Ovis aries: one gene and its partners. The protein of the gene in region 1 purifies or fractionates together with the protein of each later gene. This does not show direct contact. Links are inferred from orthologs where the notes say so. Each region holds a gene or a part of one and is shown in the gene's direction. Other genes may lie near its edges. The genes, in order: CD9, IGSF8, ITGA6 and PTGFRN.

Region 1 (8,557 bases):
AAATCAGAGGATATGGAGGAGGCCTGTCCTGGGGAAGACCCCATAGGGTCCTGCTCAGTTACACCCTGAGCAAAGACTCCTGGGGCTTAGTCTGGCCTGCACTGGGATTCTTCCAGGTGAGACAGAGGGCGTTGTCCTCTCAGGATCCCCTGTGTCCAGGACACACAGCAGGCTCCCCAGAAACACCCGAAAAAGAAGTGAATGAGCTGCCCTGACTCTGACCTCCCCTGGCAGCCCCCTCACACACTCATCCCCTCTCCCTGTTTGCCGCCTTCTCTCCAGCCTCCGCTCTGTTGTCCCACCTCAGTTCATCCCTGGGTCTCTGACCTGAACCCACATCCTCCTGATGTACCTCTGTGGGTCTCCAGATCACCTCCATCTCTAGCTGCCTCACTCCCCAACCACAGATGTTCTCGCCTCTCAGTATTAGTCGCTCAGTTGTGTCTGACTCTTTTCGACTCTGGATGGCAGCCCGTCAGGCTCCTCTGTCCATGTGATGCTCCAGGCAAGAACACTGGAGTGGGTTGCCTTTCCCTTCTCCAGGGGATCTTCCTGACCCAGGGATCAAGCCCAGGTCTCCTGCTTTGCAGGCAGATTCTTTACTGTCTGAGCCACAGTCTAAGCCTCCAGCGCTCTGAGCCAAGTTCTGGAGACACAGACAATGGTCCTTAGAGTCAAGCAGCCTTCTGCCTGCCCCTCCTGCTCCCCCACCACCCAACTACGCAAAACAGGTTCCCCTTGCTTAAATCCACCAGTGATCCCTCACCCCTGAGGGCAGAGTCCAGTGCCAGGAGGCACCTCTAGCCAGATGCCCACCTCACTTCCCCACACACCTCCCCACTACTGTGAGTTCCAGCCCAGACTCCAGACAGCCCCTACCCTAACTTTGCCCAATCCTCCCTTGATTACAACCACTTTTCAATGCAGCCTGCTTCCCTGTTTGGGTCAAAAGTTTGCTTTGAGCTCCCCTGGCCTTCAAGCCTCACTCCTTGCGGTCATGTAACAGGCTCAGTCCCCTCCTGCTCTAAGAATATACCCTCATGTGCCTGGACACTGAAACCACATTTGCCCTGAATGAACAAATTGATGAGACAAATGTAACAGTGGTAATAAACAGAGCAAAATATAATTTCAAATTGGGTAATACAAGCTGTTTCGGGTAGGTGTTATTTTGAGTTAGGTTCTTTTTGCCTATTGGTATTTTCTGATGTTTTGGTAATCAAGGAGGTTTTGCTTTTGTCATTAAAAAAAAAAGGAAACTTCATTTTGAAAAAAAAAAATGGGAAAGGGTTTGGGGTTTTTAAAAGTAGAGGAAATCTCCTTATCCTTTGGTGAGAACCAGGAAAGGAATGTTTAAGGAGGCATGGAATTTTTACAAGTGAAGAGGGGATGGTTAGCCAGCCAGAGGGAACACACCACATGCCACTTGCAGGGCTGGGGTGCTGTGGAGGGCAAAATAAGGAATTTTGACTTAAGTCATTGAATGTAGGAGAGCTGCGGAAAGTATTTTTTTCTTCCTGTTTCTTTGAGATGTCAACTGCAAACTGGCACTTTCCAAGAGCATTGCCAGTGACTGAACAGCAAGGGCGTTTGCCATCTGCCTCTGCAGAGACTGAGCCCTGCACTGCTGCAGCTGCTGACCGTAAACACCTGGAGGGGGTTCAGGGTGGAGAGTGAGGCACTCTGTGCTCCAAGGAACCTGGTGGAACTGGTTTTCATACAGTTGGATATTTTCAGGAACAAATTTTATGATTCCAATCCTTGCCATCTTCTATCTAGAAAAGCACTAAATCCCTTCATGATGACATCAAATCCTCGTGACTAGCAGAAAACCTTTCATAAAATGAGTGCTTGATGGTATCAAACTCCCCATTCACCAAAATCTTGTATATTGACCGTCCTCCCACTGCCCTTTTGGAGCAGTCTCTCAGAGCTATCTGCGGTGCTGCCTCCTGGGCTGCAGTCCTCATTTTGCCCCAAATAAAACTTAACTCACAACTCTCACGTTGTGCATCTTTTTTAGTTGACAGAGATATAATTGACGGACAGCACTGTATATGTTTAAGGTGTATGACATAATGATTTGACTCATGTACATCATGAAATGATTACCACAGTAAGTTTAGTGAATATCCATGTTTCATATACATATATGAAAGAAACAGAAAAATATTTACGTGTTTTTCATTGTCCTGAGAACTCTTAGGATTTGTTTTCTTAACAGTTTTCCTCATAACTTACAGCACTATTGATTATATTTATCGTATTGTACATTAAATCCCTAGTACTTATTTATCTTACAACTGGAAGTTTGTACCTTTTGATTGCCTTCATCCAATTCCCCTTCTCCTATCTCCCCACCTCCACCTCTGGTAACCACGAATCTAATCTCTATCTCTGAGCTTGTTTGCTTGTTTTTGAAGTATAATTGACCTACAACATTGTGTCAGTTCCTGATACATACATAACATAGTGATTCGACATTTCTATACATTTTGAAATGATCACCACAGTAAGTCTAGTTATTATCTGTCGCTGTCCAAAGATATCACATAATTATTGACTATATTCCCTACATTGTACATTTCATACCCATGACTCATTTATTTTGCAACTGAAAGTTTGTACCTCCTAATCTCCCTCACCTATTTCTCTCCTCCCCCTACCCACCTCCACTTGGCAACCAACTGTTGGTATCTCTGTATCTGTTTCTGGTTAGTTATACTTTTTTTTTTTTTTGGATTCCATTTGTCTTTCTCTCTCTGATTTATTTCACTTAGCAAAATACCCTCTAGGTTCATCTATGTGGTTGCAAGTTTTCCTTCTTTTTATGGGTAATATTTCATCATATATATTTTTTTTTCTTTATCTATTCATCTATTGATGGACACTTCTGTTGTTTCCATATCTTGGCTGCTAGAAATAATGTTACAATGAACATAGGGGTGCAAATATATTTCCAAATAGTGTTTTCATTTTCTTTGGACAAATACCCAGGAGTGGAATTGCTGCGTAGTTCTATTTTTAATTTTTTAAAGAACCTCCATACTGCTTTCCATAATGGTTGTATCAATTTGTATTCCCTCTCAACAGTTTTGGGGGCTTCCCCGGTGGCTCAGATGGTAAAGAATCTGCCTGCAATGCGGGACACCTGGGTTCAATCCCAGGGTTGGGAAGATCCCCTGGAGGAGAGCATGGCAACCCATGCCAGTATTCTTGCCCGGATAATCCCATGGACAGAGGCGCCTGGTGGGCTGCAGTCTATGGGGTCGCAAAGAGTTGGATACAACTGAGTGACTAAGCACAGCCCAACAATCGAGGAGGGTTCCCTTTTCTCCACATCCTAACCAACATTTGTCATTTGCTGGACATTTTGGAGCAGAGGAGAAACACCCTAAGAACTCTGGCACAGGAGCTCAAAGATGTGACAGTGGGCAGTGGCAAGGGCAAGAAGGAGGGTGATGAGGAGAAGAGGCAAGAACAGAAGCCAGGCTACAGCCTTTTTCTTCTCTGGGGCATCTAAACCACAGATCCAGGAAGCAACCCCACATTGTCCAGCTCTCAGACCTATCACTATTCATTGATGGTATTTCAGGATTACTTCCATAAGCCCCTACGAATCCTCCCATCCGGAAGGCAAGCCTCCATGTGCCGAGTGAAGAGTGTGCTTCAGAGTTAAAGTGTACAAGGAGCCACCCCAGGGAGACAGAAACAGGGCAGTTTCTCTTCAAATCGGGCCCCAAGCAAGAAGAGCCCTCATTCTGCGCGCCACCTTGGGTAAGGGGCCTCTGCCCTCACCACCCACCGGGGAAGTTCTCCCTAGGGCAGAGGGCTCGGGAGGGGCAGAATCCAGGAGAGAACCGAGAGGAGTGAGGCCTTCACATAATTCCAGGATGAAATCGGCCAAGGATGACGGCCTAGAAAGACTCCAGGACGGTTGGGAGAAAAGGGAAGGCAAGGCGGGAAGTCAGGTCCGGCCAACTAGGTGGGGAGCACTGAGACAGAGGCGGGACGAGCCGCGGGCCCCCGGACCTGGGCGGGGCGTGGCAGGTGGGCCGGGGGCGGGGCCTGCGGGGCGTGGGCGGGGCGGGGCCGGGACCCGGCACATGCGCACCGCGGCGTCGCGCGCCCGAGGAGTGGCACTTTTTAAAAGTGCAGCCCCGAGGCCAGCCAGCAGCCGCGCGCACCTCAGTCCACAGCCCGGTCCCGCCCGTCCCGGCCTCACGCGGCCCCGTTTCACATCTGTCCAACCCAGGCCACTCTAGCTCGCATCATGCCGGTCAAAGGAGGCACCAAGTGCATCAAATACCTGCTCTTCGGATTTAACTTCATCTTCTGGGTGAGTGAGTGGACGGCCGCGCGCGCCTCTCGGGGTCCACCTGTCCGCCCGGCGCACTCAGTCCGCGATCGGTTTTGCCGGGCACTCGCCCCGCCTGCGCGGGGAAGACTCCTGGCGGGGAGGAGAGGGCTCTGCGGCCGCCAGCTAACTCCTCGGCCCGAGTCGAGACGGGCGGGGCGGGCGGGTTGATCCGGGGCGCGTCCGAAGCGAGGCGGGCGGCTGAAGAGCCCTGATGAGCTGCGGTTGGAGTTGGTGTATGCTCCCACCCCGAGCCCCTCAGAGTGCAGGAGGAAGAATCAGAGCACCCCTCTGCTGGGGACTTAAGGCCCTGATCGTGGGAGGCTGTGGCGGACTGTGCGGCTCGTGACCCGGGCGGGGTCCCCCGAGTATCCGGGGCCGCGAGGAGGGGAAGGATGCGGACGCAAAAAGGGACTAATGACTCGCCAGGGACGCTCAGCCAAGAGCTGTTGGCACGTTTGCACGGGAGGGGAAGGGACGCCCCAACCGCGGATGTCGGCATCCCGGGACCCCATTCGTGAATGAAAGTCGGGGTCCCTCCTGCATCCCCGACCTCTCAGACTGATTCTGAGCCGGCGTGAGAAAGTCCGAGCTCCCTCGAAACTACCTGAAAGACTAGCTTGTCTTGATTTTTTTTTTCCCCAAAGGGCGATAAGTATCTGGACTGGAGAGAACTCCGAGGCAGTTGGGGAGAGTTGGGGCCGATGCTTATCGGCGCCCGCGTGGGATGAGTCCCGTGTTTCTCCATTTCCGGGAGGGATCAGGTGGCCACCCCACCTCCTCCCCCGCCAGCCCACCCAGAAGCCGGGTGGGGCCACCGGGAGCGGACTGTCACCTGGGGAGGACGCAGGCCTGGGAGTTCCAGGACTCCCGCTGCCGGCTACTGGCAGCTTCTCAGCCTACGGCAGCCTGAGGCGGGCAGCGGGGAAGGGGAGAGGCCCCTCGGAGCCCTCCCTAGGGGGATTAAGGGGCCCCCCAGAGACAGAGGCAAGGGGTAGGGGACTTGGTGTCCTAGTTCCAGGGTCACTTCCCCCGCTCACAGGTGGACGGTTTTTCCCCTTTGCCATTAGGAAGGCATTTGGAAAGGCAGACCCTGTGCCGCTCTCCAGAGAGAGATGGCTATAGAAGCAGGGGCATGCCACAGGAGGCTTGTAACAAAACTACTTATTCACTCGGATCTGTTTCCCCATGAGCCCCAGGGGAAAGTCTCACAAGATTTGCTCCTCTCCCTGGAGCTGACAGGGTATGAGATGGACCTGCCCTTGTTCAAGTCATCACACCAAACACCTGCCCTAGTGAAGGTGGAGCATAGACGTGCCTTGCCCAGTCCAGGGCCTGCTCTAGGGAGACCCTCCATTCCCATCAGTCCCAGCAGCCACCCAGCTAGCTGCCAACCTGGCTTCCTCCTCACCCCCACCGAGACACCAGAAAAGAATGTGGAAGGCGGGCTAGCCCCGCCTTTCCCCACCCTAGTCCTTTAAGGAGTTTTCCTCTAGCCCCTCCCTAGCACCTTCTTTCCCCTGCTAGTCCCCTGGTGACTCCTTGGCTTCCCAGGTGGCGCTAGTGGTAAAGAACCCACCAAGAGACATGGGTTCAACCCCTGGGTCGGGAAAATCCCCTGGAGGAGGAGGGCACAGGAAGCCATTCCAGTATTATTGCCTAGAGAATGCCATGGACAGAAGAGCCTGGCAGAGCCTGGTGGGCGACTCCCAGACCTCTCCGGCAGCCTCCAGCCTGCCACCCCACCCATGTCCAGAGCTGCCCCAACCTGGGCATCAGTGCTGCTGATGGGCAGTGTCACCTGAAACAGAGATGACTCATTTTGGGTGTAGAATTAGGAATGACTTTCGAGGTCATCCTGTCCAACTTCTTCACAGTAAAGAAGTGGGAACCGGAACTGGGCTGATCCGATCAGCATCACGGGAACCAAGCCAATACCTCAGCCCCTAGATCCTTTAGGTCCTGTCCTCTTACTTCTCCATCGCAAAACCAACAAGGGGGCCTGGCAACGGGTGGTGTGGGGGGTAAGCAATAGCTGCATGAATCTGAATCAGCTATTGTTGTCGCTGTTGTTGTGTCGTCGCTAAGTTGTGTCCAGCTCTTTTATGACCCCGTGGACTGTAGCCCACCAGGCTCCTCTGTGTGTGGGATTTCCCTGACAAGAATACTAGAGTGGATTGCCATTTCCTTCTCCGGGGGATCTTCCCGACCCAGTGATCAAACCCACATCCCCTGCATTGGCAGGAAGATTCGTTACCACTGAGCCCCCAGGGAAGCCCATTGTTCAGTACTCCTGTATTAAGGTCCCTATAGAGATGAAGCCCTCATCTCCTAGGAGGTGATGGAGTAAAGGAACACTGTGATCCCTTGTGCAGCACGGTACAGCCTGCAAAGTCCTTTTCCAAGTTCCACAATACGGTCAGAGCAGAAAGCATTACCCCCGTTTTTACCAATGACCAGGAAACCAGTTCCCAGAGAGGTTCTGTAACTTAGCCAGGGTCAGATGGCTGGAGAGCAACAGAGATAAGTTTGAAAACAAGTCTGATGGGCTGCAGTGTACCCAGTGCACTTTCTGTCACCTCTAGCCACCATACCCAGTTGGATGAGAATGACAAGAGGGTGGCAACAAGCCCTCAAAAAGTGATTTTTAAGGGAAGCTGTGACCTGAGGGAACTCCTTGCTTGGATCGTTATGTCGTCACTTCCCTTTCTGTCTTGAGACTCAGAATTTATAAATTTAGTGTTTGGAACCTGATGTGGCCTTAAAGAGCAGGAGTTGGGAGGGTAGGAGTCACCCATACCTCATGGCCAGGGGATGCTGAGACGGGTGGTCCTGCAGGGATCCAGAGAGGAGAGGCCCACCTTGATGGCAAGGGCAATCAAGGAGGGAGGATGTACCTCTTCCCTGGCCCCCACTCTCATTCCTGAGGGACCCTCAGTGACAGCACAGCCTGCACCACCTGCCCCTCACTCCCCAAAGTAAGACCCCTGGTGCCTGCAGCCCAGTCAGCAGTCACTCTGTCCTTCCAGTGGCCCCAGAACTCTTAACTTCACAGTTCTGTTTTAATTGTTTCTGGGTTTCCTTTGACCTGCTTGCCCACCCACCCTCCAGAAAAGATTGAGAGGGGAAACCTGTTGTGATGCCAGAGTGGCAGCCTCAGCTGTTTAGTGGGGAACCAGAGCTGGGCCAGGCCAGGCTTTCCCATTCTACCCTCACCTCCCTCTGCCCCTTTGCTCACTGTGTCCCCCCACCTCATCCCTGTCCCCTCCCTCACTGATGGGAAGAGCGGGGAATTTCTCTTTCCAGAGAAACAGTATCTCCTGGGCCTAAGACAGGCTTCGTGGAAACCAGAGATCAGGGACCTGGGTGTTAGTCAGCTCTGCCCTCAGCCCACTTTGAGCATGTCACTTTTGTTTGTGTGTGTGTGTGTGTGTTTTATTTAGCTGCGGCATGTGGAATCTAGTTCCTCGACCAGGGCTCGAACCCATGCCCCCTGCATTGGGAGCATTGTCTTAACCACTGGACCACTAGCGAAGTCCCGAGCAGGTCACTTTTTTTTTCTTCTTAATATATACATTTTATTGAAATATAGTTGACTTACAATGTTTCAGGCACACAGCAAGATGATTCAGTTATACACATACACATTTATTATTTTTGAAGTTATTTTCCATTATAAGTTATTAGAAGATAGTGACTATAGTTCCCTGTGCTATACAGTAACCAAGCAGGTCACTTTTGAACTCCATAGTTCAGATTCCTCATCTGTAAGACCAGTGAGTTGGAGCAAATGGTCCCAAAAGGTCAGCCTAAGAAACCAGCCCCACCCCCGTGACCTACAGCGAAGGACATTCCCACACGACCCAGAATAGGAGTCCGGAAATGGAAGGGTATAGTGGGTACCCAGGCTTGGCTCACAGAGTGGCTTCATTTGACCTTTATTTCTGGGACCTGAGCCTTGCCTCTCTTTCCTGTTAACCCTGGAGTTACCTCCAGTCCTCCTGGGTGAGGTCTCCCCCTGGGTGAGCGTTTCATGGAAGTGCTGCCCAATGGTCAGAGCACCAGCAGCTCTGGGTTCGATTTCTGCATCATCACAAGGAGCTGGTGCCTGCCCCCCCTGCCCCGGGGTGGCTGTGGGTTACACGAGCATGTGCTTGTGATGCACTTGGCCCAGGAGCTTAGTCCTGGGTGGCTCTTATC
Region 2 (6,592 bases), on another chromosome or scaffold:
CCCCCGCCCCAGCTCCCAGCCCCGCCCGGCAGGTGCCTGCTATCTGTTCAGCCCTGTCGTCACCCCAGCATTTCGGAGCCCCTGGTAGCCCCTTCTCCCTCAGCGGCGCCTCCAGCCTTCCCGGGCCTGGCGTCCAGCTTCCCTCTGTGGCCGCCGGCCTAGCCAGTCTTGCGGGGGTGATGAGGCTCCCCAGTTCTAGGCCCTAGGCTGGGACACAGTTTGGACCTACCAAAGTGCGGTCCCCAGGGACCGCCAGGCCTCCGGGGGCCGGGTCCTGCTTCCCTGCTGGCACACTCAGGTCCGGGGGGCGCTGCGACTCCTGTCTGCCTCACACTCAGCTTCAGGCCCGGCCTTAGGTACTCGCCCTGCGTGGGCAGTGCCTGGCCATCTTCATAATCGCCTGAGTTGGCTGGAGGCCCAGGGGCCCGTTCTGCCCACGATCTTTTGAAGTAAGTCTCCCCTAATTGCATCCCCCTCTCCAACTTCATTATCTGACGCGTCAGCCTCATCCTGGGTCGGGTCTCTCAGATAGCACTTGTCTCTGTAGCCTCCCACCAGCTGTCACACCCCCTTAGTCCCAGCCTCCGTGCCTCAGGAGAAACCAGGCTCCCTGGAGACTGATGCTGAGACCCCCAAGCACCCCGTGTCTGTTGTGGTGGGTGTTCACGGTGGGCTGTCTGAGCCACTGCTGCAAGGCTGCATGAGGGAGTGACAGTGGGAATGTTCTGGGTGTGGACTGGAGGGCTCCCTGTAGGGCTGGCCTGGGGAGGAGGATGGGACGGTGGCTGCCTACACAGACTCAGGAGACTGCAACCCTTGAAATCAGAACAGAGGGCGGCGAGGGGGTGGCTTTGGTGCCCGGATTCAGAGCTGCCATAGTTAAGGCAGAGGCTGACGTAGCCCTAGCCGCCTGTTTCTAGACCAGCGCTCCATCTCAGAGCCAAGCGGCCTCCCTGTACTGCATAGGTCCCGGGGCCCTGTGGGACTAGAATGAGTCCTCTCCTTGGGGCGCTAGGCGGGGCCATACAGAGCAGGGAGCTGTGGGCCCTGGTTACCTAGCACTGGGCCTCTTTTCCCCAGTGGGCAGCGTGGCGCGGAGAGGAGCCCAGGGTAAGTGTGGCGCAGAGAGATAAGAGAGTCTGTGGGATCTGAGTGTCCTGGATGCGGGCACTTACTGTTACTTTGAAGGTGAGGAAAATGAAATAACTTGCCCCAGAGAACACACTGAGTGAGTGTTGGGGCTTGCATTTGAACCCACACCAGAGACCCGAAGCAGGTCTCTATGCTCTCCTTTCCTTCTCTGCTAACCCACAGGAGGGGGCCTGGAGAGAGCTCCCTGGCAGCTGGTTTCCCAAGGCGGTGAGGGTGACTTTCCCATGGGGATCTCCAAGCATCAGCAGTTGTGGAGCCAGGAAGATGGGAGGGGGCCCTCCTGAGCAGAGTCTGCCCCTAGGCCAGCTCCGTCATGCTGATTATGAAATGCCCTGAGGCAGGGCCCTTCTGAGTCACAGGCTATCTCCCTGTCAAAGTGGAGAGCTCCTAGCTCTCCTCCAGTGTAGTGTGGATGGGGCTAGTCCACAGGGTACAGCTGGGATTGGGCATGGAGCTGGAACTCGGCTTCGGCTTCCAGACTCCCAGCCTGTGCTCTAACTGAGCAGCCACGAGGTCTCCCCATGACTCAGCCGCAGGGAGAAGACGGAGCTATGGGGAGGGCTTCTGGAGGACAGTCTGACTACAGACTAGGTGTTTTCCTCCCGCCCCTGCAGAAAGGTTAGGGTCTGTCCCTGGAGTGATGCTCTGCTTGGTGAGGCCATTGCCCTCAGGCCTCCCCTTGTGTGTTCCCATTGCCTCTGGCCAGCCAAGGATAGTAGGAACTTGGCCAAGACATTCTACTTCTCATACCTTACCTTTCTCATCTGTAAGATGGAGGTAGAGAGTTGACCCAGCCCTCCTTGTGTCCTGAGATTCTGTGATTTGGGGCTGTGGAAAGACAGAAGAAGAAGCTGAGCCGTCCAAGGCCACAGGGCTACCCTTTGAGGGCAGGCTAGGGGTGAGGGTGGGGTGAAGAAGAGTTTTGGCCTCTCTGAGTAGAGAAAGATGGGAGGGGACAACCGTGAGGGCGGGTTGGGGGCTGGGTGGTGGTCGTTACAGCCTCCCTACAGAAAGCGAGCCGTATGTAAATGAATGCACACTATATGCAAATTAAGGCTTTTGTTTAGGGGGTGGGGGGAGGATTGTGTGTCAGCTGGGCCTTCGGGGAAGGTTGGCAGGCACTGGTGGGGGAGGGGAGCCTCTGCCCCCAGAGCCCAGGGCAGAGGCTGGTTCTTGCCCCATGAGCCTCAGCTGCCTCGGCAGCCCCAGAGGGCGGAGAAGCAGTGAGCTCATGACACAGCTGGAGAGGGGGGAGGGATGCTGTGGTGAGAACTGACAGGGCCTGTACCCTCTCCTGCCCGGGCCAGTGGCTCCATTGTCTGGAGTCCCCTGGCCCAGGTGACACAGCTGGGCCAACCAGCCCTTCTGATCAAAGTTTTTCCAGCTCCTTTTAAATAAAGGAGGGGGACATGTGGTCTCAGGATCCCTTAGCTAGAAGGCTCACCTGGTCCGCAGACAGAAGAGTGGGGTAATAAGGGGAGGTGCAGCTGGAATCAAGCAATGGTTAAATCAGAAAGCAGATACACCCCTTCCTTCACTTAGCTGCTCTGCTTCTGGCCTGCCAGGAACAGGGATGATTCTGTGTTCTGAGGCTAACCGGCTCTCTCCCACCACCTCCTTGAGACCCAGGTGTCTTGCCTCCCAGCATCCTTTCCTGGTTCTCAGAACGGGGCCCAAGCTGTACACCGAGTGTCCTCGGGTTTCCTTTCCTTTCACAAGCAGGCAGCAAGGATGATGCGGGTGCTGGGGGGATGCAGTGAGGACCCAGGCGTGCCTAACTTCGTCCTTCCCCGTAGGAATTGGGTGCTGTGCCCGGGAAGTGCTGGTCCCTCAGGGGCCCCTGTACCGCGTGGCTGGCACTGCCGTCTCCATCTCCTGCAATGTCAGTGGCTACGAGGGCTCTGCCCAGCAGGACTTCGAGTGGTTCCTGTACAGGCCCGAGGCCCCAGAGGCTGCCCTGGGCATTGTCAGCACCAGGGACACCCGGTTCTCCTACGCCATCTTTGGGCCCCGAGTGGCAGCTGGCGAGGTTCAGGTGCAGCGTCTGCAGGGTGATGCCGCGGTGCTCAGGATCTCCCGCCTGCAGGCCCAGGATGCTGGCATTTACGAATGCTACACACCCTCCACTGATGCCCGCTACCTGGGCAGCTACAGCGGCAAAGTGGAACTGAGAGGTACTGGGCCCTGAGAGGGTGGGGCCACTCTCTCCCAAAGGCAGGAAGTCAGGGCCAGCCGCAACTCAAGAGGGACTTGAGGTCCAAGGAGGTCCCCTAATTTGACTTTGTGCAAATTAGTGACTGGCCTGGGACTCTAACCCAGAACTCTTCATTCCAGTCCACAGCTCTTATTGAGGAGAGCATGGCAACCAACTCCAGTCTTCTTGCCTGGAGAATCCTCATGGACAGAGGAGCCTGGCAGGCTACAGTCCATGGGGTCACACAGGGTCAGACACAGCCGAATGACTAAGCACAGCACAGCTCTTACTCTATCAAGCGGCTTCCTGGGAGACGGGGAAGTGTCCTGAAGCTTTCCATTCCCTGGAGGGTGGGGGAGCCCCATAGGGTGAACAGACTCCATGCCTGGAGATTTCAGGATCCAGATCTGGGGGAGGAGTGGGGAAAGTAGAGGCAGGGTAGGAAGAGGGAGACCATGTGACATTCTTGCTCTCTTAAGGTTCTTTGTCTTCCGGGAAGGAAGACAGAGCCACTTAGCTGAGTATTTCAAACAGGGGTCACTCTCAAACATAAGGGTGAGTAGGCGATGAGCTGGTTCTATGAAACTCAGCAAGTATTTACTGAGTGCCTGCTGTGTGCCAGCACTGGGCTTGGCACCACTGGGTTACAGAAGCAATGATACAACACGAAGTCTCTGCCTTCTAGGATCTCACGGTCTATTTAGGGAAATAAGATGTAGGTGGAAAACAGCTCACACAGGTCAACAGCGCCCCCTCACTCCACCTGCTCTCTCTAGTTCTTCCAGACACGCTGCAGGTGTCTGCTAGCCCCCCGGGGCCGCGAGGCCGCCAGGCCCCGACTTCACCCCCTCGCCTCACAGTGCATGAGGGGCAGGAGCTGGCACTGGGCTGCCTGGCGAGGACGAGCACGCAGAAGCACACACACCTGGCCGTGTCCTTTGGGCGGGCTGTGCCCGAGGTGCCTGTGGGGCGAGCGACTCTGCAGGAAGTGGTGGGGCTCCGGCCCGACCTGGCAGTGGACGCTGGAGCCCCCTATGCCGCACGACTGGCAGCCGGGGAGCTGCGGCTGGGCAAGGAGGGGTCCGAGCGGTACCGCATGGTGCTGGGCGGTGCCCAAGCGGACGATGCAGGCACCTACCACTGCACTGCCACCGAGTGGATTCAGGATCCGGATGGCAGCTGGGCCCAGATAGCAGAGAAGAGGGCTGTGCTGGCGCACGTGGATGTTCAGACACTGTGTGAGTGCCTGGGGTCCCCCAGTGCCAGCTGGGAGCCAGAGTATCTCAGGGACCCTAGAGGACCGTGGTCCGAGACCTCGAGTGAGCAGTCTCGTTAGCATTGCTTCCCGTTAGCATCTGTCCCCATGATGGGTTTTCTCTGCTCAGATATGGGTGTGGAGATGGGAGGGCCGCGGCTGAGGGTGAGAGTCGGGCCCCCGGGTGGGAGAGATGGGGGGCAGTTTCCTCTTGTCAAGGGGGGACAGGTGCTCCGTGCCCTCTCCTGGCTCCTTGACACCTCTTTTCCTGCCTGTGTTCCAGCCAGCCAGCTGGCAGTGACAGTAGGGCCTGGTGAGCATCGGGTCGGCCCAGGGGAGCCCTTGGAGCTGCTGTGCAATGTGTCGGGGGCCTTGCCCCCCCCGGGCCGTCATGCCGCCTACTCTGTGGGCTGGGAGATGGCACCCGCAGGGGCACCTGGGCCCGGCCGCCTGGTGGCCCAGTTGGACACGGAGGGAGTGGGCAGCCTGGGCCCTGGCTACGAGGGCCGGCACATTGCCATGGAGAAGGTGGCCTCCCGAACTTACCGGCTACGGCTGGAGGCTGCCCGGCCTGGGGATGCGGGCACCTACCGCTGCCTAGCCAAGGCCTACGTCCGAGGGTCTGGGGCCCGGCTTCGTGAAGCCGCCAGTGCTCGCTCCCGGCCCCTCCCCGTGCACGTCCGAGAAGAAGGTGAGCGGGGCAGGCTGGACCCTGGACAGGTTTCGGGGTCTGTAGAACCTTTCCCTTCCGTTTCTGAGCCTCTCTCCCTCTCCATCAGCTGCTTCCATGTCTCAGCCTCACACTCCTCTTCTAAGATTGTGGGAACACTGAATTTCTGGGGGCTCAGAAAATCCCATGTGCCCTGACCTTTCACCTCTGACCTTCGTTGTGCAGGTGTGGTGCTGGAGGCCGTGGCCTGGCTGGCGGGAGGCGCAGTGTACCGCGGGGAGACTGCCTCCCTGCTCTGCAACGTCTCCGTGCGGGGCGGCCCCCCTGGGCTGCGGCTTGCTGCCAGCTGGTGGGTGGAGCGGCCGGAGGAGGGGGAGCTGAGCTCTGCCCCTGCCCAGCTGGTGGGCGGGGTGGGCCAGGACGGTGTGGCGGAGCTGGGGGTCCGGCCTGGAGGAGGCCCCGTCAGCGTGGAGCTGGTGGGGCCCCGAAGCCATCGGCTGAGACTGCACAGCTTGGGGCCTGAGGACGAAGGCGTGTACCACTGTGCCCCCAGCGCCTGGGTGCAGCACGCTGACTACAGCTGGTACCAGGCGGGCAGTGCCCGCTCGGGGCCTGTCACAGTCTACCCATACACGCATGGTGAGTGACGCCCGCCCTCTCCTCCTTGCTCAGGCCTCCCCCCATCCCCCGCTCTTGTTCTCTCCTTTGCATCTGATCCTCCCACTAGCTGTCCCTCTGGTCCCTCTTTCTCCTCCCAAAGTCCAGCTTTCGGCCGTTCGCCACCCAGCTGCTCCAGTGTCCTGGTGGTGGGTACTGGCTTGAGTGCAGAGAAGGCAGGGAGCCGGCAGAAGACTGTGTGTGTGGGGGAGGTGGTGTGGACAGCTTGACAGAAGGTGCTGGCAGATGGGTGGGACTGTGGGTGGAGAGCAGGGACACCCCAGGCTGAGCAGAGCCATCCTCTCTCGCCCAGCCCTGGACACTCTGTTTGTGCCCCTGCTGGTGGGCGCGGGGGTTGCGCTAGTTGTCGGAGCCACCATCCTCGGCTCCATCACCTGCTGTTTCATGAAGCGGCTGCGGAAACGGTGATTCCTCCCACCCCAGGTGAGGGGTGAGAACCCCCAGCCCTGTCCTCCCCAGTCCTGAGATGAACGGCTCCCTCCCTGGCCCTACCCAGCCGCTCTCAGCTCTGCGGGACCCTGGCAAGGGCCAGGAGGGAGTCACGCTCTCCCTAGCCCCCTCACAGCCTGCTCTCCTGTTCCTGCAGATGTGACTGTCTTCCAGCCCAGCCGCAAGCCTGCCTTTGGTGTCTGAATACCCTCTC
Region 3 (7,835 bases), on another chromosome or scaffold:
AACTTCTGAAAAAATTAAGCAGATGTAGAAAACCGCTCTATTATAAAGGACAATTTACCTGATTCTAATTCATAGCAAAGAGTAATATATCTGATTCAGAAATAAGATTTTTGGGGAAGAAATTTATTGGAATAAATCCTATGTTCTTACATTTTGTATAGTCAGAAAAACATTGGGAAAATTTTTCATTGTTCATTCAGAAATTTCCAAGTTTTGATTTCTGTTAGGAATGGTCCTTGAGCACCTTCCTGGGTATGCCATTCATAGCAACCTTTGGGAATAATTTCCTCAGGCTACCCACCCTGAGCTGAATCTTCCACATAGCAGCATTTGTTGGGTTATCTTGACCTAATAACACACGGAATTTAGAAATAGTTTTATTTTAGCAAGAGACGGCATACATGGTAAAACAAAATAAAAACACCCACCAATTATGTATGTTTTAATTTCTGGGAAATACATCTTGCCTGCTTTGTAAATGCTGACTTAAAATGTTACCACTTAAAAAAAAAATCATATAGTAGACTTATTATGTGAGATATTCTCTTTTCAATGATTAGGTCTGAAAATTTTTTGAAGATTTAAAATCTCTGGTTAAAAATGATTGGAAGAAAATATCAAAATACTAATCTTGCTTTCACACCATAGTAGAGAAGGTAAATTGATTTAGGATTATAGAAAATATAAAATATATCAGGTTCATATAATTAAAGAGTTTTCTGTAGGTTTAGTTAATTAAGCATTCCATTTTCCATCTATAATTCCATTTTCATGGCATTAAAAAGATAATTCATGAAAACACGTGTGCATTTTTTTTATTACTAGAACAGTTTTGTTTGATGTAAAAATCTACACAAACAGGATTTTTTAACTTTAATAACCTCAGAAGTCACCTTCTGCCTTTTGTCCCTCCAAATTTTTCTTTCTGAACTTAATGATAACATCAGGAATGTTTATTAGAACCATCTATTTTATTTTGTTTCATCTTCATTTTTTTTTCTTTTTTACCATTTCATTCTTTTAGGGATTGTTCGCGTAGAGCAAAAGAATAACACTTTTTTTGACATGAACATCTTTGAAGATGGGCCTTATGAAGTTGGTGGAGAGACTGATCATGATGAAAGTCTAGTTCCTGTTCCTGCTAACAGTTACTTAGGTAGGCATGAGAGTAGATGACATGCCTGCCTCCTCAGATGCCTCTGTGTGACACTGCTGTCACAGGACCCTGGACTGCGAGGCTGAGAAAGGGCCAGACTGGGGCTGGGGGCCTGTGGCTGCATTTAGTGGAATTTAGAGCTTGGTGATCCCTGAGGTATTCTGACTGATACTTGGGGTATCTGACCCGAGCTGCCTCAAAGCAGGAGGAAACCTACTGTCTCCTAAAACCTTCTGACCTGCCTGGAGGTCTGTTTCCTGAGCCACCGTCCACTTCTGTAACCCGCACCAGGCGGTCCATGCAGCCGTGACACAATGCATGCTTGTAAGCAGGAGGCCGAGTTGTCTTCCTCTCCCTTCAGAGTCTCTTTTCGGAGAGATACTCTTGAAGAGCTGCATTTATGAAGTTATTCTTAAGTGGCAGGTCAGGACCTCCAGGTCCATCCTCTGTGACTGCCCCTCTCCAAGGGTTGGCCTTGCTTCTGGATTGTCACAAGGCCCCTGGTGGGTGGCACGGGGGGCTTTCCAGCCGAGCCAGAGCCGCACTGCTAAAGCAGCTCCGAGGACACCCAGATTGTGGTCTAAGTGCCAATTCCTTAACTCCTGACGCTTGTTTGCGTTACTAATGGGTGTCCTAAATTATTCATGTGCATTATGGTAATTACACAAAGGCTTTTAAAAGCTTTAATTCTTGGTATGAGTTGACATAAAGAATAATTACTGTGTAATTCTTGGAAAAAATGTAAAAAATCTACTAAATCTAAATAGTATCCTATTCTTTTTAAAAAATAGAGAAGTACCATATGCTGGAGATCTTACTAGAACAATGGAAGGTTACAGAGGGGAAATAAATGGGTGTAGATCTAAAAATAATTCTAAACAAGATATTAGTAAACATATTCTTTAAAAATTGTTATAATTATATAGATATGTATGAACAATACTGTTAATTAAAAAAAACTTTTCAGAAACTCCCCCACCCCTAAACTAAAAACTTGATGTGAAGACATAGAATGGAGAAAACTTATACTTACCATTTGTTAAGCACCTACTGTATGCTATAAATCACACACTGTTACTTACTACTTTATAGGTTTTATTTGTTCTTTCCAACTATATTATAAAATAAGTATTATTTTCCTTTTGCTGATGGGCGAAAAAATCCCTGTGACTGAGGGAAATTTCCTAGTCCGAGGTCACACAATTAATAATCCCCCAGCCAAGGGAAGAAATGCTCATGAAAATGATTGGGACAGGGTGGGAAGCAGCTGGGTATGTGAATGCTGTCAGTGGCTTTGCAGGACAGGAGGGGAACACAGGGCTGAGTGGTTTGCAGTCTCAATTATTAAATAGGATTTTCCAGGGTAAAATTATTTTCAAGGTAAATATTAATACTATCAATAAGCCAATATTTTATTTGAATACATTTTAACAGAAAACCTCTTCAAATGAGTTACTAAGGGATTAGTTTATGCCATTTCAGTTTAATGGCTCTGGTCAAGAAGCCAACACTTTTGTTCGTAAGATAGATGCCCATGGATTTTATCTTAGTGTCTATTGGAACACGTGAAACTATTAAACTTTTTTTATTAAACACATTTGCCACTTTCAGAATGGGTTTCCTCAAAAGCGGGTACTGGGTCGGGGTGGAGAGAATAGTGCCACATTCCTACTGCTACATTTTGGCTGTCTGTGCATCTGTCATTTCAAAAAAATCAGCAGGTTTTAGGAGGGAAATGATCTGTGTGAGGTTTGGAAGCTGGCAAAGAGGGTGGCTTTCGGATGCAGCGGTGGCCTCATCATTGCGAGCACGGCAGTAGCCAGTGTGCCTCTTACCAAGCATAATTGCTTTTTCTTCAATCTCTTCTGTCCCGTGCATGTGTACAGGCCTGCTGTTTTTGACCAGCGTTTCCTATACAGATCCCGATCAGTTTGTTTATAAAACACAGCCTCCCAGGGAGCAGCCCGACACATCCCCTGATGTGATGATGAATAGCTACCTAGGTTTGTGACCTCTGAGATGACAAATAAATAGTCTTGGTCATGGTCATTTAAGAATTTTTTTTTTTGATCCATACAGAGCATAAATCTTTTTATTTTCTATTTCATTTCAAGTGAAGCACACACAAAAAGCATGCCGCTGTTGAGGCTCTGCAGCCAGAATGGCTTCCAGAGCTGGATTCAATTGTGTCTCCTTTCTAAACTTGTAGCTCTTCCTGTTTTTCAACTCACTTCACAATTTGAGAACTGCAGCAGTAGTGGTGATGCTTTTCGTAAACAAAACCCAATTAAAAGGGTGAGCTTATAATATTCTGCATCTGCCTCATCTTCACATAGGAAGGTTTGCTTTATTTGGACAATTTTGATGTGTGGACATTTGTGTCTGTTTGCCATTTAACCTCAGTTGGTAATCTGACATCCTACCTGATGCTTTATGATGAGGTTTCTAATGTTTTTCTGCCCTCCGAACAAGTGTGTAATTGATATGGATGACAGCTTGCTCACCTCTATTGTTTACGCTAGGTTCTCAAATCTCATCAGTCATGATTTTGTTTGCATGTTTCTGTCTGAGAACTAAGTTGGCCCTAAGGAGTAAAATGCTGGCTGTGGCATATTAATGTTGTTAGCATTCTTTTATTGCCTGATGACCAGAGAGATTGATGAATATAGAAGTTAACTAATCACTGCATTATAGCAAGACCCATAGGCACTCAATTATGCTATGTCAGGTTGCATCTTGGTGTACAGGATGTAACTTTCCCTTGATAATTTAGTATCTAGCTTGATCTCCTTTTACAGCAGTTTCAGTATTGGAATGGAGTTTGAACTGATTCTTAAGCAGCATGTATGCTTCATGATTGAAGTTACACAAATGCTAACTAGCACAGGTGCTTTTCTTTAAATACCTTAACAGGGAAACACCTACTATTTTGTGCTTGAGTCAAATCTCTTGGTGCTGTAATTCTTATCATAGATATGATAGCTTGGGGGGAGGGTCAGAAGGAGAGTGGTGGGAAACGAAAGGTAGTGATGAAGTAACCACTGTTACATACCTCCTGAAAAACAGAGTTGATAAGTACCATGTTTTGTTTTTCTAGGCTTTTCTTTGGACTCAGGGAAAGGTATTGTTTCCAAAGATGAGATCACTTTTGTATCTGGTGCTCCTAGAGCCAATCATAGTGGAGCTGTGGTTTTGCTTAAAAGAGACCTGAAGTCTGCACACCTTCTCCCTGAGCACATATTTGATGGGGAAGGGCTGGCGTCTTCATTTGGCTATGACGTGGCAGTGGTGGACCTCAACAAAGACGGGTAAGAGCCTCTGAGGTTAGTTTACATTTGCAAAGAACTCATTGCTGCTCTGGCTTCTATAGGTGTTGAGAGGAAATACCTTTCCAGGTTAGTTGATGCAAAGAATATTTCTGCTGCCAAATTTTTACCATCCCATCAGTCTTCCTCACTTATATTTTGGTAGCAGACATTCATTACCCTCCCTAGGATGTAGGATTACATTTTCAGGCTTCAGTTTTTACTATGTCCTAGGATCATGGGTCTGTGAGAATTAAAATTTAACTTAAAAAAAAAAAATGACAGCTATGTGGTTCTGTTCTGTGGTTTCTTAAGGGGATTTTGGAGCAGCCAGAATGTCCTCTTGAAAGTAGGGATTGGTGACAAAGTTGATACAAAGGTCTCTGGTTGATAGTGCCAATCTGGGTCTTTGGTAGAGGGTCAAAGGTGGAAGGGAGTGGAATCTTTACTGGGAGGCTCTCTGCACTATAGATGTAACTTGGAAACTGGCTTCAAGTTCTTACAGTTCATGTTTTCCTTTGGGTGTTATTAGAGGCTACCTAGTTTTTTTAAAAAATACTTCAATTGATGAGATATAAATTCCAGATTTGAGGTCCTTTTTATCATATCTCTTTGTGTCCTTAGTACCCGTTCATGTGCAATTCTCCCTAAGCTTGCTGATATTTTGGCCAGTGGTTTACAGTTCTTCCCCTCATTATGTTTTCAGGTGGCAAGATATAGTTATTGGAGCCCCACAGTATTTTGATAGAAGTGGAGAAGTTGGAGGTGCAGCATATGTCTACATTAACCAGCAAGGCAGATGGAATAACGTCAAGCCGATTCGTCTTAATGGAACCAAAGATTCTATGTTTGGCATTGCAGTCAAAAATATTGGTGATATTAATCAAGATGGCTACCCAGGTAGACAAATAGATTGTGAAATGGTCATGATTTATAGATTATGTGATTGTCTAAAATAGTGAGTCCTCATGATCTATTTTAAAACATTGTATTGGAATGCTTTTAAAATGTGACATTTGTTAAAACGTGGTGTTGTTAACAGATATTGCAGTTGGAGCACCCTATGATGGTAAGGGGAAGGTTTTTATCTATCATGGATCTGCGAATGGAATAAATACCAAACCAACACAGGTAACCAGATAACTTGGATTTCTACAGTTAAGCTCTCAGTAGTTTTCTTTCCAATGGATTGTTTAGGTTTATGTGAATTTTCACACTAATCATGTGTTACTTACAAGTCTAAAATAGTATGAACTTTGGTTTTATAAAAAATGTATTAGAAGATAGCTTGTAAATAGATTTAAATGCAATGAGCTGCTTGTTTTAAATTGTAAAATTTCTTTGGTAAACTAAGGATCAAACTAAGCCAAAGGAAAAGACTCTTCTACCCTGACAGCATAAAGAGATAGAATGTGATATATTTTCTTTAGTAGCATATTAAGAAGGGATGAAACTGGACAGACATAAGAGATGATTGTAATTGCATAGAGAATCAGATATCAAAATCTAGAAATTGCTTTAGAGGAAAATAAGACATTTGGAGGGCAGGAAGAGAAGTTTGGTTTGAAATACACTGATTGACTTAATATGGTACATAAAGTTATCAAAAATTCTCTTCTGTCTTTTGAGATACACCATAAATCAGGTAACTTTTGTGAAAATAAAATGCATGGAATGTTTGATCATGTGTGTACTTATTTATAATTCAGTTGTGATTTAATATAATTTGTAAGTAAACTCTTTAACTTCAGTTCAAAAGAGACTTATCTTCATAGCATAAATGAAAGACTTATCTTAGTAGCCAGGTGTCTGTTCTGATGTCCTGTTCCTTTCAGGTTCTTGAGGGTAAAGCACCTTTTTTTGGATATTCAATTGCTGGGAACATGGACCTTGATAGAAATTCCTACCCTGATGTTGCTGTTGGCTCCCTCTCAGATTCAGTGACTATATTCAGGTATGTAATCTCTGGCTTTAAGCTTGTTTGGTAAATCTACTTACACTAGAGTTGGGTGTTTTTTTTTTGACCTTTTGAATTGGAATTTGTAACAACTGTACTTCAAAGGCAAAGTCTAGGTTTTTTCCTGTGAATATACATGTTTAACAAAATTGAGATTGTAATGTACATATCGTTTTGTAACCTGCTTTTGCTGGTTTGTAATGAATAGTGGCCTTTTTCTGTGAGTGAGTATAATGCATAGTGGGTTATTTCCCTGTCGTTGAGTACTTTTCTGAAATGAAGTTAACGGTTGCCTGAGACATTACATGGGTCATGTGTTTATTTAACAACTTTTGGGTTGTTTATTTTGGGTCATAGTTTATTTAACAACTGCCATACTGTCATACTGTCATTGGACAGTTAGGTTGCTTTCCAGGTTTGGTGGTTTACTTCCTTAATACACAAAGCTGGTGAGCATCCTTACTTTTCTTCATGTCCTAGATTATTTCCTTATGATAACTTCCTAAAAGTGAGTTGCGAAGTTGAAGGGCATGTGTGTTTTAGGACTTGTGATTCCTTCAACCAAAATGATCTCCAGAAAGGCTGCAGCGGTTTGCCCATCAGCTGTGTCTCAGTGGCCTTATCCCAACAATTCCATCACTGCTGGAAATTGCCAGGAAAAATTGTGCAAAACATTTTTTTTTTAATTTAAAAAGTAGCATATTCTTTTTCTTTTTTTAAAAAAAGGTTAATACAGAATTGCAGTTAAGTGCAAGTTTTCCAGTATTCTTTCCCTCCATCAAACAACTTTTAATAGTTTTGAGTCTCTCTCCACTTCTAGGGTATCCTCAAACAGCCATACTATAACTGCTGTCTTCTATTCTGGTTTGTAAAAATTAACCTCTTCCATTTTCTCTCCTTGTTAATGCAGATATATCAATCTTATTCTTTTTAAAAGCTCAATGTTATTCCATAATATGCATTTAATGAGTCCTTGGTTGATGGAATTTTTAGATAGTCTGACTTTTAGCTATTATAAACAGTGTGTTAGATGGTGTATTATATATATATCTCCATGTAATGGAATTTTTTAAAGAAAAATTCCTAGAAATAGAATTGCTGGGATCAAGGTTAGCACATTTTTGTATTCATCATGTGTGTGTGTGCATACTCAGCCAGTCTCCAACTCCAGCCACATGGGCTGCACCCTGCCAGGCTCCTCTGTCCATGGGATTTCCAAGGCAAGAATACTGGAGTGAGTAGCCATTTCCTCCTCCAGTGGATTTTCCTGACCCAGAGATTGAACTCTCATCGCCTGCATTGGCAGCTAGATGGATTCTTTACCACTGAGCCACCTGGGAAACCCTTACATATACCCGCAGAAAAGTTGTAGCAATTTATGCTCACAGCAGCAACCTACCAGAGGGCCCATTTTCTC
Region 4 (8,623 bases), on another chromosome or scaffold:
ATTTTCAGCCCAGATGATAGCATATTGGCACAAAACTACACACAATAACTGGTGCCTCTCTCTCTACTTACTCCCCTTCAATTTCCTTCGCTCTTTTGGCATCAATCTTCTCCCCCTTCCTTTATAGCATTTCAGGTCTTTTGATACACTAAACTAGATTATAAACTCCTCTAGGGCAAGGGCTATGCATACTCTTAATATAGTAATAATGCCTCACTTTTGTAGAAAGCTTTTATTGCAAAAGCCTTGTCTCATTCCATTTTCTTATTTTTCTCCTCACACTTTCACCCCGGCGTCGCTGAAGGAGTAAATGCTTGGAAGTCACTCCTGGTCTGGAATCAGGGCCAGTTCTAGACATCTAAGGACACTTTCTCTGTTATCTCCCATTTTGGTCTTTGAGGCCAGAGGTCACAGAGCACAGCCTTTGGCAGGATCATACTTAACCCATTCCAGGCACGTAAGGCCCTTTTCTGTTTTTGAAACTTGTCAGATGGGCATTCCACAACTTCCCTCATGGCCTCCCTGAATGACGTTCACTCATCAGTAAATGAAGTCTTCCTCTCCCCAACCCCTACCTTTTAAACTCTTAATTCCATTCTCTAATTCTGTGATTAAATCTTAAAGTTCTTTTTGATTAGGAATCCCCGTGTTTAACTTCAATAGGAGAAACAGACACCTGGAACCAATACAAAGGAAACGTAGTGAAAATGATTAGTGGAAGGAAATGATGCTGTAGGACATATTCTTTTGCTGGCCATTCTGCTAAAGTAGCATCAGGGTCATCTGTAGAGAAACAGAGGCAGAGAGAAAGCGAGGGAAGGAGAGAGAGAGAACGGGCTGACGGAAGCAGCACAGGTAACTCACAGGGTCTGGGTGACTCTTAGGATAATCTGGCAAATTCATTCATTGGGACCTTTTGACATTTGCATGTTCACCTTTAACCAGTAAGGTGATTTTACTGATCTCAGCAGGAACACCTGTTACAAGTGAGAATGTGGGACCCTCAGGGGTTTTCAGGGGCAACGCCTGCAGACAGATCCCAGTAATCAAAAGACTGTAAGGGTTGGCTGTTGTAACCTGAGCCTCTGAGGGTCTCCGTGATCTGGCAGGAAACCTACAGAGGTGGGACTCCCCTCCTTGGGGATGGGTGTGGATCAGTTACTGGAGAGTGAGCCTTCCTGCCCCAGGCAAGCCTACAGACTAAGCAAACTGGGAACAATTGTCTGGGGCAAAAGCCTTACCTATACATGGGGTTACTGACTCGGGAAATATTAATAAAAGTCTTTTATAATGAAAGCATCATCACATTCCAGAGTTATGACTTAACACATTGTGTCGGTCGGTTTCAGGTGCTATGTTCCTTTAGCTGGAAACATATTCCATCCTCTGGTAGTCAGGGCTGTGCAAAGGGTGTGGTGCTATGTCCAAGCACCTGTAGTGATTAATTTAGCCTCATTTTCTGCTACATAAACGGTTATCTAGGGCTGACTCTCATGACATGACACAGTTGACTACCCACTACCAAGAAACCATCCACTTTTGTCCTCATTGTTCTGGCCCTGCCTGGACTGTCTTATTTCTTCTTTCCATTTCAACCAACTACTGCTGTTTCAATGACTGTAAGATGCACCATTAATTTAATAATATCTGGGTGTGGGGAAGGGAGGAGAGAAGAATACCTTCCACACAATGGCTATTGCTGGCTCATCCGTCCTCCTCACAGCTAGAGACCTGCTGGTCGTTCAAGACTCGGTTCACAGTCATCCCCACTGAGCTTTTTTGGACAAGCTTCCTCAGGACTGACAACTGCATCTGGCAGTGCTGTCACACGTGCTGAGTCAGGATGCACAGACTGCACGCACCTCAAGGGCAGGAACGGTTTTATTCACCTCTGTTTCCCCAGGCTCGAGCCCAGTAAGTGGCATTAGTTTACTCCACAAATATTTACTGAAGACCCGCCATGTGACAGCATACTTCCTGACTTGCACTTTGTTAAACAAAAGTTCTTAGCAAACATCGACTCTACAGTGATGTGAGACATAAAACGAGCACATGACAGTCTCTCTCTCCCACTATTAGACAGAGATGGGAGCACCGTGTTTGCTGTCAGCTTGAGCTGATATAACAAATATCATGAACTGGGTGGCTTAAACAACAGACAGTTATGTCTCCCACTTCTGGAGGCTGTGAAGTCTAAGATCAAGATGCTGGCCCATTCAGTACCTGGTGAGGGCCCTCCCCTGGTTTGCAGACAAATGCCTCCTTGCCGTACCCTCACACAGCATAGATGTAGGCATAATGCCTCTCACGTCTCTACTTATAAGGGCACTAATCCCATGCATGAGGGCTCCATCCTCTGGACTTAATTACGCCCTGAAGTCCCCACCTCCAAATACCTTTGGAGATTAGGGCTTCAATATGAGTTTGGTTGGGGGACACAGTACATTCAGTGCGTAGCATGGGCTAAACTGAATGTGACCAAGTGCCAGAATGTGTGCTTCAAATGTTAAGCACTGTGGGTAGTTAAGAAAGGGAAAGATTTGAGCTTCTGGAGGGGTCAGGTCTTACTCTTCTCTGTAGCTTCAGCATCTCTCAAGGCCTAACATGAGGCTTGCATTTAAGGCTGATTGAATTAAATTGAAAGACTTCCCAGAGAAATTCTAGAGGATTCCATGGGATAGGAAATGCAAAGGAACTGCTGGGTGGGTGAATAGCATGAAAAAAGGCTTGTGACAAAAATAAATTTAAAAAAAATTTTTTTAGCATGTTGAAACATATATAACCTTTTGTTGTTGTTTAGTTGCTAAGTATTATCTGACTCTTTGCGACCCTATGGACTGTAGCCTGCCAGGCTCCTCTGTCCATGGGATTCTCCAGGTAAGAATACTGGAGTGGATTGCCATTTCCTTTTTCAGGGGATCTTCCCAACTTAGGGATTTAACTGGAATCTCCTACATTGGAAGGCAAATTCTTTACCACTGAGCAACTAGAAAGTCCCATATATAACACAGAATCTACCATTTTAACTGTTTTTAAAGTCTACAGTCCAATGGCATTAAGTACACTCACATTATTGGCCCATCAGGGACAAATTTTTAAGTCTCTTGCAGATGGGTTCATACCTGGCTAAAGGCACTTTTGTTAGTGGAAATAAGAGACACTTGTTAGTGGAAATAATGATGTACTGAGGTAAAAAGCAAAGTTCCTCTCCCTAGTTGGGGCAGTTCCCCACTAACATCTGTGCTTTGTTTTGCACTTATTAATGAGAGGCTGCGGCACTGGGGGGTTGGGGTGGGGGACACCAGTGCTGTGTTTGAATTATCCTTGAGAAGTTTTAAACAATGAACACTAAAAATTTCTCCCTAATACTGGGTCTTTTGTATTCAAATTAAAAGCACAAAGCCCCATTGTAGGGGAAGAAAAGAATCTTTATTGGCAACCAGTTCTGTCCACTTAAAGCAATAAATAAAAAGTTTAAAGAGTACATTCCATATGAAGTACTGAAGCTATTAATACACTTGGGTTCTGAGCGTCCGCACCCCCCCACCATGGGTCTATTTGTGGTAAGTGTTAATCAGTGCCATAGGCACCCGGGAGAAGGAAGGAAGGAGGTGGGCGACGGGAGGCGAGGCCTACCCAACCACAGGGCAGTGAGCAGAGCCTGTGAGATCTGGGTTTTGGTCTTGACACTTCGCTGTGAATCTTCGGGCAAGGCACCCAAACACTTCACGCCTCTGCACCTTGGAGGCTGGCATCCCCGGCGTTTAAGTCCCTTCATCTCTTTCAGTCCTATCTGGATAATATTTAGCCAAGTCCTAGCGGCTGGTTGGTGGGTGCTTCGTTCGGGACGAGTCGGTGACCGTGCGGGGAGTTAGCAGAGGGACCCGGAGGCCCACGTGGGGACTCCAGAGTGGTGGGACGCGGGGTGGCTAGGAATGGCGCTCAAGCGATGGGATTTCCAGACGAGTCTTTCCAAGGCCAACTTTTAAAGGTCGGAGGAAAGTTTGTGGCGGGGCGGGGGCCCCGAGGGGGGAGAGCTGGGTGGGCTCCGACGCCTCCTCCCCTTTAAGCGGGTGGTCCCAGCGCTGCCTCCGTTACCTGGAGCGGGGAGGGGCTTGGGAAAGTTTGTGTTTGTTGCTGGCAAAGCGCCGGATGGGAGGCGCGGGCGGGCGGGTGCTGCGGTTCTTCCCTCCTGCTTTCGGGAAGCGGTCGGGGCTGCAAGCTTGGCTCGGCGGGGCGGCCTTGGCGCCCGGCTCCCGGTGCCCGGCCGGCTGGAGGAGGCGGGCAGAGGCGGGCGTGAGCCGAGCGGAGCGAGGGGCGCACGTCGGCCCCAGCGCTGGGATTTCTCGGCTCGCGAGGAGAGCGGAGCAGGCGCGCGGCCCAGGCGGAGGAGCGCTGACTCTGGAGCAGCCGGAGCTGGAGGAGGAGGAGGAGGAGAGGCGGCGGGGAAGGAGGAGGAGGGGGAGAGTCGCTCCCGCCCGGCGAGCATGGGGCGCCTGGCGCCGAGGCCGCTGCTGCTGGCGCTCCTGTCGCTGGGTGAGTGCGCGCGGGGCCCGGTGAGGCGCAGGGGGCTCGGCCGGGCGCGGGGGGACTGGCGGGGCGCGGCTGCCGCGCGCGGCCTGGAGCGCCAACGGGGCCGGGGCCGCTCCCGGGAGACCTGGCCGGGGTCCGCGGGAGGCAGGGCCCGGCTGGGGAGAGGGCGCGGGGCCGCCCGGAGCCGGGCGCGGGGTGCGAGTCGCCGTCCTGTAGGCCGAGCCTCGCCCCCATGTGCAGGGGGGGAGTGGCCCGCGGCCGGCTTCCCCCGGCCCTCCCTACCTGTTAGTCGCCAGCTGCCGGCTCACCTTGAACTCCCGGCCCGGAAGGTGCCTGCGGTCCCGGCCCTAGTCCCGGGCTTGCGAGCGGAAATCTGCGGCTTTCATCTGCCCCGCCATGGCCGAGAGCGGCAGAACCGCGCTCCGCACACCCTACCCCGCGCCCAGCTGCCTTTCCAGGGAAGCGAGAGGATCCACCAACTTCCTTCTCCGAAGGTCACCGGGTGGCCCCGAGCGCTACAGTCAGAATGGGTGTGCGGGGCCCTCCGTTGTGTTAGCTGTAACTAGCTTTTCTGCCTCAGTCTTCTCCTTCAGCGCTTGTAGAAGCTGCCTCGCTGCATATTTGCACACAAAGACCTGGGTGCCTTGGCTTCTTCAACTTTTCCTACCTGTTACTTTTCTCCCTTGATGTCCCCTGTCTTGCACACTCTCTAAACCTCGGTGCCTCCTGATCATTTGACCCAGCTTCCTCCACCCAACCCAAGGAATCTTTGGTGTTTCCCCCCCACCCCGCCCCCATCTTCCATAGACACAGACACCATCTTCACCTCGTATAATGTGGTTATATTAGTATAACCAAGTGGTTATCAGCCACAGAAATCATCTGCTTAATAAGTGGCCACCGTGGATCAGGGAGGCTGACTCTTAAAAGCTGTACTTGAAGCCTTTAGTCAGCGTCAACCAGAACAGAAGGAATCCTGTGACCTGCGCGGGGATTTTCTTCCTCACCCCTGGAGATGGCAGAACTGAATCTTTTATAAAGCCACACAGTGTGTGGTGTCTATCCTAGCCAGGCCCCAGCTGCACACAGGCTAAGTGACTACACTGCACTTACGGCCAGAGGGTCCCAGTGGAGGCCTTCCATTGCCACTCCCAGCCTGGCATCGGGTCTCACACTGTCCCCACCCCTGTGACTCCTGCCGCTGGTGGGGGCCAGCCTTCCTAGCTGCTACTGTGTTTTCTTCCTTCCCCTCTGAGGGGTTTTCTGGAACTGCCTCCCTAAGAGAGCTCACCCAGCCACCACATTGCTTTAGATGCCACCAGGTGCAGAAAGCTTGCACGTCTTTCACTTGATTTTGTGGCATCTGTTCTGTGCTCTCAGATCTTAGTGCTTTTATTCTCTTCCTTTCACTCTGGGACCCTTGTAGGTTTTCCCTCTGGTGCACACTGCTGGTGATAGTCCACACCCTTTACGTAATTGGCTGATGTGTCTGGGTCAGGCAGGGCCGCGGCCCCTGGTTGCACTGATTGTACACTGCTCAACTCTAGGAACAACTCTAGGAGCTGCTGTCACGTTCTGCCTGTGTGAATGGCCCTCCCTAGAGTTGTGTGATTCACAACCCTTGCACTAGTTAAGTGGGTGCGGCCAGGTAGAAATTTGAAAAGAATGTCTTTGAGTAACTATGGTAAGAGGAAAAGAGAGAAAGGGCAAAGAGAGACTAACGAAAGCAAAAACAGAAGTGGGGAAAGCCCGGCTTGGGGTAGCTTTGAGGTATACCAGTGCACCCTGCCTGGCTGGACGTCTCATGTCACCTATGCACCGGGAATGTCTCTGGTGTCACCAGTGAATGCCTTGTCCCCTAACAGTTACTGAACTTCATGTTTATGTAATAACTCTGCCATACCGAACCTCACTTGGTGTGGCTTCAGTTTGACCTCTCAGATGCCCTCCCTGTGATACTCTACGCTGTACTGATTCCTGCCACCCAGTATGTTGATAAGCTAGATCATCTTTCCTCTTGTATTGCAACCTGGGCATAATCTTACTGTCCCTCTCTTTGACCTCCACATTCACTCTGTCCCTCAACTCTGTCGCTTTTCCTATAGTGCAGACTCCAGCATCTTCTGTTCATCCTTATCTAAAGCTACTGTCCTAGCCCCAGTTCTGACAGCTCCCTACACAGATCTGACATCTTCCTGTTTGACTTTTCCTACCAGCCTCCCTTCGGATTGTTTTTGGAGGTGCACCTTAATTCCATGATCCCTTATGATTTTCTTCTGAGGATGTTCTGCCCCTTGTATTCTCTTCCTTGCTACTTCTCTCTGAGTAGGGCCTTTCTCATTCTAAGGAACTTGTTTGCTACCCTTTACATTGAATGTATGTAGACCTTCTGGTCTTTCCATTTCTCATGACCTGGGAAAGTGTCTCCTTCTTCTTCCCTCTTACCTATTTCCTTTCCCCCTTAAAACTGCTTCCTCCGTAAAGCTTCTCTAAATGAGTCTACCTATCATGATCACAGCAGAACACACTCAGCTTCAGGTTTTCACTTCCATGGCCTATGTCTCATCCATCTGTATATACAGCATTTCTTGAATCCCCACTGTGGCAATAAGAGTGTCCCAGACAAATGACCAAGACATAGCGTCTCACTGAGTGGTCAGTTGGGGTGGGCAGACAGTTAATAATAAAAGCTAACTACAAGCCAGAATGACATACCTGACATAGAAACCAGGTGCTGGTAGGAAGCAAGGAAGAGGATGATTAATTTTGACTTGGGATTGAGGTTGATTTTGCTGAAGAGGTGACATTTGAGCTGAGCCTTGAGGATAATTAGTATTTTGAGAGAAAAGATGGGAGAGGCTTCCAGGCTCCGGGGAAAGGCATCCAGCGTGGATAAGTGGAAGGACATGGTTCATTCAGAAAGGGCATGGAAGTACCATGAAACTGGAGGAGGGCAGAGGATACACTAGGAGGGCAAATTGGAAACGTGGGTCTGGGTTGGATTCTCAAAGCTGTTCCTGCAGTGCTGAGGTCCTTGCCATTTGGATGTTGGCCTTGTGGGTGCTGCTGCACAACTGTGCTTCTCCCATCAGAGTACTTATTTATCTCCCTGTGGATGATTTTTCCTGCTCTAAATCCCCACTCTGATTATATCCCATGAGGCAGGGACCAGGTTGGTATTGTTCACTGTAGTATTGCTCATACTGGGTGTCCAGCACAGAGCAGGTGTTTGGTAAATCCTGGCTGCCTGGATGAAGGCATGTATATATCATTTTATCTGTGGGTTATGGTCTGCCATTGCAGATTCGCAGTGTGAGATTGAGACAGCATGGTGATGTGTTTGAGGAGGTCAGTCCTAGTGTGCAGCATGAATTAGAGAGTGGGAGGTATGAAGACTGTGGAGAGGGATTAAGATACTCTCTCTCTTCGTGTGCATCTTTTTTAAAAAAGTTGCAAACCCATCAAAATAGTTTCTAAACAACAAAAACATTGCATCTGTTTTAAAATCCAAATTTCATAGATGGGTACTGTATTATTCTATTGGGTAGGCTGAATTGTTCTCACAAAATAGACTGAAAGCGCAGCGGTTCGAACAACAGAAGTGTCTTTCCTAGCCGTTCCTGGGGGGCCGGGGAGTGGGTTGGAGGTGTTTCCAGTGAAATGGTCGGGTGGGACTGCTGTTTCACATGGGCATTCTGAGCTCCCAGGCTGATGGTGGTTTTGCTGTCTTCAGCCTGTAGTTTCTAAGTTCACCTGGGTTGTCATCATCCCCTTTCCAGCCCCGTAAATAGGGGGCTTCCCAGGTGGCTCAGTGGTAAAGAATCCACCTGCCAATGTGGGAGACACTGGAGATGCAGGTTTGATCCCTGGGTCAGGAAGATCCCCCGGAGTAGGAAATGGCAACCCACTCCAGTATTCTTGTCTGGAAAATCCCCTGGACAGAGGACCCTGTCAGGCTGCAGTCCATAGGGTTGCAGAGAGTCAGACACAATGAGTGACTGAGCGCGTAGCACAAAGGGAAAAGAGCATGGAGGGGGCTATCTAGAGGCTTCCTGGGCTAAGCTCGGAAGTGGCTCCTACCACTTCTGCA

The links.
Region 2: the proteins of CD9 (region 1) and IGSF8 purify together in Homo sapiens (affinity purification with mass spectrometry; 5 studies listed by BioGRID and IntAct, counting the BioPlex papers as one, with this or other methods). This does not show direct contact. The link is inferred for Ovis aries from reciprocal best matches to the Homo sapiens genes CD9 and IGSF8.
Region 3: the proteins of CD9 (region 1) and ITGA6 purify together in Homo sapiens (co-immunoprecipitation; 3 studies listed by BioGRID and IntAct, with this or other methods). This does not show direct contact. The link is inferred for Ovis aries from reciprocal best matches to the Homo sapiens genes CD9 and ITGA6.
Region 4: the proteins of CD9 (region 1) and PTGFRN purify together in Homo sapiens (co-immunoprecipitation; 8 studies listed by BioGRID and IntAct, with this or other methods). This does not show direct contact. The link is inferred for Ovis aries from reciprocal best matches to the Homo sapiens genes CD9 and PTGFRN.

The regions. Positions count from the first base shown.
Region 1 is NC_056056.1:209,985,012-209,993,568, reverse strand, and holds the start of CD9 (CD9 antigen), read left to right. Parts: upstream 1-4,132; 5' UTR 4,133-4,273; coding exon 4,274-4,339; intron 4,340-4,736; exon of another isoform or gene 4,737-7,903; intron 7,904-8,557. UniProt on the Homo sapiens protein: Integral membrane protein associated with integrins, which regulates different processes, such as sperm-egg fusion, platelet activation and aggregation, and cell adhesion.
Region 2 is NC_056054.1:111,124,330-111,130,921, reverse strand, and holds part of IGSF8 (immunoglobulin superfamily member 8), read left to right. Parts: intron 1-2,948; coding exon 2,949-3,326; intron 3,327-4,122; coding exon 4,123-4,584; intron 4,585-4,884; coding exon 4,885-5,292; intron 5,293-5,496; coding exon 5,497-5,910; intron 5,911-6,241; coding exon 6,242-6,357; 3' UTR 6,358-6,372; intron 6,373-6,535; 3' UTR 6,536-6,592. UniProt on the Homo sapiens protein: Member of the immunoglobulin superfamily (IgSF) that links tetraspanin-enriched microdomains to the actin cytoskeleton and plays several important roles in innate and adaptive immunity.
Region 3 is NC_056055.1:137,376,690-137,384,524, reverse strand, and holds part of ITGA6 (integrin alpha-6), read left to right. Parts: intron 1-1,024; coding exon 1,025-1,156; intron 1,157-4,253; coding exon 4,254-4,464; intron 4,465-5,167; coding exon 5,168-5,361; intron 5,362-5,503; coding exon 5,504-5,592; intron 5,593-6,296; coding exon 6,297-6,415; intron 6,416-7,835. UniProt on the Homo sapiens protein: Integrin alpha-6/beta-1 (ITGA6:ITGB1) is a receptor for laminin on platelets. Integrin alpha-6/beta-1 (ITGA6:ITGB1) is present in oocytes and is involved in sperm-egg fusion.
Region 4 is NC_056054.1:94,307,184-94,315,806, forward strand, and holds the start of PTGFRN (prostaglandin F2 receptor negative regulator), read left to right. Parts: upstream 1-4,178; 5' UTR 4,179-4,487; coding exon 4,488-4,536; intron 4,537-8,623. UniProt on the Homo sapiens protein: Inhibits the binding of prostaglandin F2-alpha (PGF2-alpha) to its specific FP receptor, by decreasing the receptor number rather than the affinity constant. Functional coupling with the prostaglandin F2-alpha receptor seems to occur.